Linked DNA regions of Coturnix japonica. The protein of the gene in region 2 interacts with the protein of the main gene of each other region in a biochemical or structural test. Links are inferred from orthologs where the notes say so. Each region holds a gene or a part of one and is shown on either strand. Other genes may lie near its edges.

What was found. The genes of interacting proteins can lie anywhere in the genome.
Region 1: of the proteins of SRPK2 (region 2) and RBM15, one has a biochemical effect on the other in vitro, tested with the Homo sapiens proteins (2 studies listed by BioGRID and IntAct). The link is inferred for Coturnix japonica from reciprocal best matches to the Homo sapiens genes SRPK2 and RBM15.

The regions. Positions count from the first base shown.
Region 1 is NC_029541.1:1,765,564-1,769,872, reverse strand, and holds the start of RBM15 (RNA-binding protein 15), read right to left. Parts: upstream 2,899-4,309; 5' UTR 2,766-2,898; coding exon 1-2,765. UniProt on the Homo sapiens protein: RNA-binding protein that acts as a key regulator of N6-methyladenosine (m6A) methylation of RNAs, thereby regulating different processes, such as hematopoietic cell homeostasis, alternative splicing of mRNAs and X chromosome inactivation mediated by Xist RNA.
Region 2 is NC_029516.1:12,447,601-12,451,223, forward strand, and holds part of SRPK2 (SRSF protein kinase 2), read right to left. Parts: coding exon 3,468-3,623; intron 2,850-3,467; coding exon 2,361-2,849; intron 1-2,360. UniProt on the Homo sapiens protein: Serine/arginine-rich protein-specific kinase which specifically phosphorylates its substrates at serine residues located in regions rich in arginine/serine dipeptides, known as RS domains and is involved in the phosphorylation of SR splicing factors and the regulation of splicing.

The DNA.
Region 1 (4,309 bases), on a different chromosome or scaffold from region 2:
TCGTCCTCTGATTTGGCCAACGCCTTGGCCGTGGAGTCCAGGAACTGCTGGGAGAAGTCGCAGGGCGGAAAGGCGTGCAGGACCCCGCTGTTCTCCTTGTCTTTGTTGCCCCCCACAGGGAGGCTGATCACCCCAGCAGCCTGCTTTTGCTTTAGATAAGAGACCAGATTCCTGAGCGGCCTCTGGGTGGAGGTGGTGGCCTCGCCAGCCCCGGCTGTGGAGCGGTTGTCTGATGTGCCGGGCACAGCCAAAAGGATGGCGTAACCATTGGGACCCGCCACCTTGATGCGGCGGTTCACCTCATCCAACTTGGGCTGGTCCAGACGAAGACGTTGGGTGATCTTGAGCTGAGCTACTTTCCCACCAGTCGCTCCTTCCACAAGGAGACTGCTGGCAACTCCGAGGTCCCCCTGAAGCAGGTGCATATTGGACGGGAAATTGCTGTTCTTCAGCAGAAGCATCCCCTGCCACGCCAAGCACAGCTTGGGGGCTCCCCCGGCCTGCGATGCTCCGTCCTGCTGCTGTTTCTGAGGTGGAGGTTTGAGGCGGGAGCCTCCACCGCCTCCCTCTGCAGCACGTTCATCCTTTTTGGCCGGGCTTTTGCACTCCTGTGCAGCAGCAGCAGAAGTGCGATGTTTCCGCTCCCTTTCAGCGGAATTCTTTCGGTCACGCTTTTCGTTCTGACCCCTCTCCAAGCTGCCCCTCCGTGACTCCCGGATGGGAGAGGGCCGCTCCAAGAGGAGCAAGCGAGACGATGAACGCTCCGGGTCGCTGCTGTAACGCTCCCTCCCCCCGACGAGCTCAGGGCTGCGGTCTGGTGGTGTGGTCGTGGTCAAGCAGTGACGCTTCCGAGAGGAAGAAGAGCGCTCGCTGTCCGGAGAGCGATCCAAGTGCCGGCCTCCGTCCTCAGCCAGCCTCCGTTTCCTAGGCTGATCCCTACTACTGCCCAACTCCCGCTCCCCTCGGTCCCGCTCTAAGGACCAACCATCCCGACGGCGTTCTAGGCTTTCCAGTGGGTCGTAGGCAGCTGCTCGGTTACTCCTGTCCCGTACAGGGGGTGGGGGTGGCACCCACTCTGTCTCGGGATAAAGGTCTCTATCACGGTCTCTATAGAGCAACGGTGGCGTCCTGTCCCGGGCACCCCGCAGAGGATCGGGTGGGGCCCCCCGGTGAGCCCCAAAAGCAGCCGCCTCCGCCACGAGCTCATAATGAGCAGGAGGGGGCAAAGGCAGGGGCTGCAGGTAGGGCTGCTGGTACCGATGCTCGGTATCCGCAAAGTCAACGCGGAGGCGGCGATCCGGCCCACCCAATGGAAAGCCACGCATGTGGGTGCAGGCCGCCTGCGCCGCGTCCAGGCTCTCATACTGGATGTAGGCCCATGAATCACCTTTGCGGTAATCAATGGTACGAATGGTGCCAAAACGGTCAAACTCCCTGGCCAAGGCGGCAAGGGGCACCCAAGGCCCGAGGCCACCCACCCAGAGCCTGGTAGTTGGAGTGGCTTTACCATACCCAATCTTGATAGGGTTACGCAGGAGCACCTTTCCCGACATGGCCAGCTTGGCTCGATGCGCCATGTCCAGATTCTCAAACTTAAGAAACCCATAAGTGCTAGTCTGCCCGCGCCCCGGCCTTTTGATGTCCACCTCAGTAATGACCCCAAAACGATCAAAAGCTCGACGTAAATCTGTCTCGCTCACGGTGATGTCCAGGTTGCCCAGGAACAACGTGCGGTTGGCTCTCTGGTCATCCTCAGGGCTGATCTCCTCCTCACTGGCAGCTCCAGCACCCCCTCCTCCTCCACGGAATCCCCCAGCAGCCGCCACGCTGGCCACCCTTTCCAGCCCATAGGCCGGCCGCACTCGCGCCTCATAAAAACCCCCATAGTCCCTCTCCCTCTCCAACTCCCTGGGCAAAGGGGGAGGGGGCGGCAAGCGGCCCAAAGCGAGCTGCTGCAGCCGGTAGTCCCGGTAACCCAACGCCCCTCCGCTGCCGGCGGGGGACAAAGCCCGCTGCGTCGCCCCAGCTGCGGGATGCCGTACAGCTGCCGCCGCCGCCGCCAGCCCCACGGCTGCCGTGCCGTAGGGTGACTCCTTGTCCAGCAGCGCCGGCGAACGGCTGCTCCTCCTCCTGCTGCTCCCTCCGCCGCTCCCCACGTAGACGGCCTCGATCTTCAGCGGCCGGTCGTACAGCACGAGGCGACCACGGGCGTGTTTAGCGGCTCGTGCATCTTCAGGCCGTCGGAAGTTAACGAAAGCCACACGTTCATCCGCAGCGCCGGTACCGGGCGGGAGGCGACTGATTTTAACACTCACATCTCCGAATCGTTTGAACTCATGGAACAGCCCGTCCTCCACCGCCTCGTCGCTCAGAGCCGAGCCCAGCTCGCTGATCTTCAGTGTCTTGTACTCCCCGCTGTCAGACGACGACGACTGGGCCGCAACCGTCCGGGACTCACCCCCGCGGCTGCTGCTGCTCCGTGACGGCTCCGTGCTCTTCCCGCCGTACCCGTGCCGCCCTCCCGTGCCCGTGGCCGCCCCGCTCTCGGTCCGTGCGGCCTTGTCCTGGTGCGGGCCCCGCCTCCCGCTGTTGTTATCGTTCGAAGCCGCCGCCGCCGCTTTGCCGCCGTTGGAGCCGCCGCCGGAGCCGCTGGGCTTCTTGCTGCTCCGCTCTCGCGTTGAGGAGGAGGATGAGGCCGAGTCCTCGCCGCCCCCTCCGCCCCGAGACCGCTTGGCTTTGGCGGGGGAGCGCTCCTTGCCTTTCATGGCGGTGCCCGGCGGGGCCGCCTCCCGCCCGGCCCTGCGCCCCGGCGGCCTCACCGACGGACCGACCGCCGCGCTCACGCATCCGCCGCCATCTTGGAAGCCGCGGCCGCCGCCGACCCCGCCCCCTCGGCGCCCATTGGCCGCTCGCAGCCTCACCCCACCCTCTCTCTCCCGCCGGGCGGAAATCCCGCCCCACCGCCCCGCCGATCCTCGTTCCTATTGGCTGAGGGAGATGTCTGTCTATGGGCCGGCCTCGCGCGCCGGGAAGAGCCGCCCCCCATCCGCCCCGCCCCGCTGTCTCATTGGATAGTTAGAAAGGGCGCGGCCTTCTGATTGGTCCAGCTCTCCTGTCACTAGGAGCGGCTCTGCCTTTTTCCCATTGGTCATTGGGCGAAACTCTCTCCTCCTTCCAATTGGTCCTTTCACCTGCCAGTTATCTCGCCCCTGCTCCCCATTGGTCCGCGGGTTCCCGTTGTCCCGCTCAAATTCTCGCGAGCAGCGCTTTACCCGCCCCCTTTTCCCATTGGTCACTGCCAACCTGGTCTGCCTTGTTCTGATTGGTTGAAGCCAATGCCACTCCTGCAGAAGCGCGGGATGCTGCCCACGCTCCGCTCTTCGTTTACCATTGGACGAGAAAATCTCCCTAAGCACCCGATTGGATGCGGGTAGGAGCTTGCGGATTGGCTAATATGGCTGTCAGTCAAGCGCGCTTTGATTTTGATTGGTCTCCTGGTGGGTGTTGGGGTTCATTAATTACATGGAGGGTGTTTGGGTTCATTATATGGGGGCTGATTGGGTTCATTAATTACGTGGGGGTGATTGGGTTCGTTAATTACCTGGGGGGTGATTGGGTTCCTTAATTACATGGGGGGTGATTGGGTTCGTTAATTACCTGGGGGTATTTGGGTTAATTACCTGGGGGTGTTTGGGTTCCTTAATTACATGGAGGGGTGTTGGTGTTCATTAATTACCTGGGGGGTGATTGGGTTCATTAATTACATGGGGGGTGTTTGGGTTAATTAATTACCTGGAGGGTTTGGGGGTTCATTATGGGGGGGGTGTTTGGGTTCATTATATGGGGGGTGATTGGGTTCATTAATTACATGGGGGATATTTGGGTTCATTAATTACCTGGGGGGTTTGGGGGTTCATTAATTACCTGGGGGGTGTTTGGGTTCATTATATGGGGGATATTTGGGTTCATTAATTACCTGGGGGGTGTTTGGGTTCATTATATGGGGGATATTTGGGTTCATTAATTACCTGGGGGGTATTTAGGTTCATTACCTGGGGGATGTTTGGGTTCATTAATTTACCTGGGGGATATTTGGGTTCATTAATTACCTGAGGGGTGTTTGGGTTCATTATATGGGGATATTTGGGTTCATTAATTTACCGGGGGGGTTTTGGGCGTTCATAATACCTGGGGGTATTTAGCGTTCATTACCTGGGGGGATGTTTGGGTTCATTAATTACCTGGGGGGTTTTGGGGTTTATTAATTACCTGGGGGGTATTTAGGTTCATTACCTGGGGGGTCTGGGGG
Region 2 (3,623 bases):
ATATACTTAGTAAACATTCAGACACTGGAATGAGGAGGAAAGTCATGACGAAATTAATAAATCTGTCCCTGAGAGCGTCTGGTCGCACAGTTATACACTCAACAAAGAATTAAATAAAGGTAAAAACTTGACAAAAAATAGTTGCTCATCCACTGAATGCAGATCAGCATTAGTTGAGAACATGTTACATAAGAACGTATAGCAATGGCTACATGGAGAGACACGCAAACAAAGTCTGCATCCATACATGAAATGAGCACTAAAGATACAGTGAAAAAGCAGCACCAGTTGAAATATTGAATGGCCTGCAACTGCCATACCGTCCTTCATTCTAATGTAGTTGAATTTGTCTTATCACTGTTTAAATTGTGCCATTCAGATGAACAACATTCAGCTTTTTCTCCTTCTGAGGAAGCGGTGAGCTATGGCTGAATTTACGGTCATTTTACTTTCTTTGCACACAAGAACTGTATATTGCTCCTGATGAGGTAACATCAAAGAGGAACGAAGTAGGCTTGTTTCTCCAGCTGTGGAGATAAGCTGATCTCTTGCTGACAACACCAGCTTTATGCTCTGGATGCATGAGGATTCTACACACCACCCCAGGAAAACAGCAGGAGAGGCCTTCTGCCTCTATATTGCCAGCAGTGAAATGGAAGAGGGGGTTCTGGTGATGGCAAGCTGAGCAACAGCCAGTTGTACACAGCACTGCCAGTGGGCGAGGGGAGGGCTCTCTCTACTCAATTGTATTTTATTGCATATTCCTTGAATATTTGCAGATTACCTTTTGTAGATTCTATAATAAACTGTGTGAAACACTTCAATAGCAAAAATCCTGCTGTTAAAAGGAAGCCAAGTTAAACAATCTTACACCACCTCTGGCCTTAAGTTATGTGAATAACGCGTACTTGCATATATCACCTTCCTTCTCTCTTTCCTGTGTAGATGACCTGCTAATGCAAATACTTTACAACAGTAACTTATTTAATACACTTTAGAACAAGTTCTAAATCAGAAAAAAAATCACAATTTTGCTTTCCTCTTAAAATTTGGGATGGTAGATTTACTGTAACAGAACAAGACTGCTTTCGTTTTGTGTTCCAAGTTGCATTGATCAAACTCTCACGTTGGAAAGTATGAATAAGCATCCAATTTACTTAGAGCATGCTTAGCAGAGCCACCGCCTTTAAGGACACTGCTACAATTCTTCCACAGAATCACAGAATTGTAGGGGTTGGAAGGGACCTCCAGAGATCATCGAGTCCAACCCCCCTGCCAAAGCAGGCTCCCTACACCACATCACACAGCTCGGCGTCCAGGCAGGTCTTGAATATCTCCAGAGAAGGAGACTCCACCACCTCCCTGGGCAGCCTGTTCCAGTGCTCCGTCACCCTCACTGTAAAGAAGTTCTTGCACACATTTGTGCAGAACTTCCTATGCTCCAGTTTCTGGCCATTTCCCCTTGTCCTGTCTCCACACACTGCTGAAAACAGTCTGGCCTCTCCACTGTGCCCCCCACACCTCAGATATTTATAGACCCGGATCAGGCCCCCATCAAAAAATAACACATTTGCTTTTCCTTGAAACTTGGTTATAGGAGGTCAAAGATAACCAGAATGGTTTGGGACCAAAATACCTGAAAAGTCTCCACTCCTTGATACCAGCCTTACTTTTTTTATTTTTTTCCTAAAACTCTTCTAAGATGAAACAGTAAATTTTAAATAATCATGAGGTTTTGCATTCAGATGACGTAATATTCAATAAGCAAAATGTTCACTGCAGGCAAAGCCATGAAGATTAAATCAGTGAGCAATGAAAAAAATGGTTCTCAGTAGCGGGCTGCAGCTGCAACCCAGTCCTAGCTATGACTAGTCTGACCTCATATCCCACTTTATGCCCAAGCCTGGGCAGTGCCAAGGAAAGCAAGGACATGGGAGCAGTCTGCACACTGCAGAGGAGCAGAGTTCAGAGGCTGGCACGTGGGCACCATCTTTACAGTGGGCACCCTTTAGAGCCGAGCAGGGAGTTAAAACTTCAGCTGAATGTGAAGAAAAGGTAACATCATTAAGTTCTGGTTCTACTGCTCAATCAAAGTAAAGGAAATGGTGTAATAGAGTCCTCCTCTGTTACTGAAATATGCTTTTATGCTACTGAAAAAAGTATGTGATGGCCTACTCAACAGATTTGGTACTGAATTTTCAAGTGAAAAAAAAAAACAACTTCTACACAGACATCACTGAACAAAGATAAAACACATACATAAGGTTTAATTCCAGCTCTCATTCTATAATAAGACATCACCTACAACTCTGAGACTCTTCAGGCATGGATGGCATGTGCCAGGCAAGAGTAGTACTTACTTTTTGGCAAATCCCCAGTGCTTGAGGCTGAAACTGTTCTGCTCCTGTCATGAGATGGGCTGCTCTCCTCTCTTTCTGTTACAGTTGATCCTTCAGAAACAGCAGAACCACAAGCTACAGACTCCAGAGCCCCAGAGAACACAGAAGCTGAAAATTCAGAGAACTGCGACTCGGGAATTTTGTGACGTCCATTTGGCAATTCACCATTAAACTGTTCATAAGAGCTGCTATAAGAGTAATCACTTTTTGCATTTGGCTCATCAAGATTATATTCCTCTGGATTTGGACATTCTTCCTCTTCGTCATCTTCATCTTCGATCTGTTGTTCCAACAGAAATGGGCCATTCACAATATGGCCATTTGTCTTAGGAGATTCTATCCACTTAGGGTCTGTAGGGTCATTGCTGACAAGTTCCTGCTCAACATCATCATCTTTTTCAGTGTTTTCTTTCTCTGTGTCTTCTTTTTCATCCTGATCTTCTGCTTCACCTGAAAAATTTTCATGAACAGCATATTAGATCATACATGAACATACCATCTTCAAAGCAAACACTCACAAATTAACTCTTCAGCAAGTACTCGACTTCCATCACAGCACACAAGGAAACACTGAGTATCACCAGAACACACAGAGACTTTAAAATCTAAGTTAAGGGCAAGAAAGGGAACTAATGGGATAGTTGGAAAAAAGAAAAAACAAAAGCAATGGGAATTGGTTCAGGATAGTTTAACTGAGGAAACAAGGAGAGATAAGGATGCTATGCCTAAGATCTACAAACTGTTCTGAAAGCAAGCACTACAGATCCTTAACTCAATCAACATCAAATCTGGATTCACCATAGAGGTAGGAATATTTATAGCTTGAGTAGAGCAAAAAAAATCAAACCAACCCAACACACACACACAAAAGAATAACACTTCTATCAACACTGAACCAGTTTATAAGAAAGCAATAGAAACGAGAAAGGAGTTGGACCTTAACAACTCTGCTCCAAACCACCTAAGTTAAAAAAGAATTTTAACATAAAATGTTTTAGTGAATAAGCTGCAATTACTTTCCCTTCTGAAACAGTAGATTCGAGGTCAAGAAAAGCAGATGACACTAACCATCATCATTTCCAGGTTCTTCATCTACGACATCCTCAAGATCAGCTGTTTTTAGTTTCACCTCTGGGTGGTACTCATCTTCTTGTTCATTAGATGGTACAGCTGAGGTTACGTTTTCTTCTATTTTTTTCCTCTCAGCTTCTCGCTCTAGTTCTT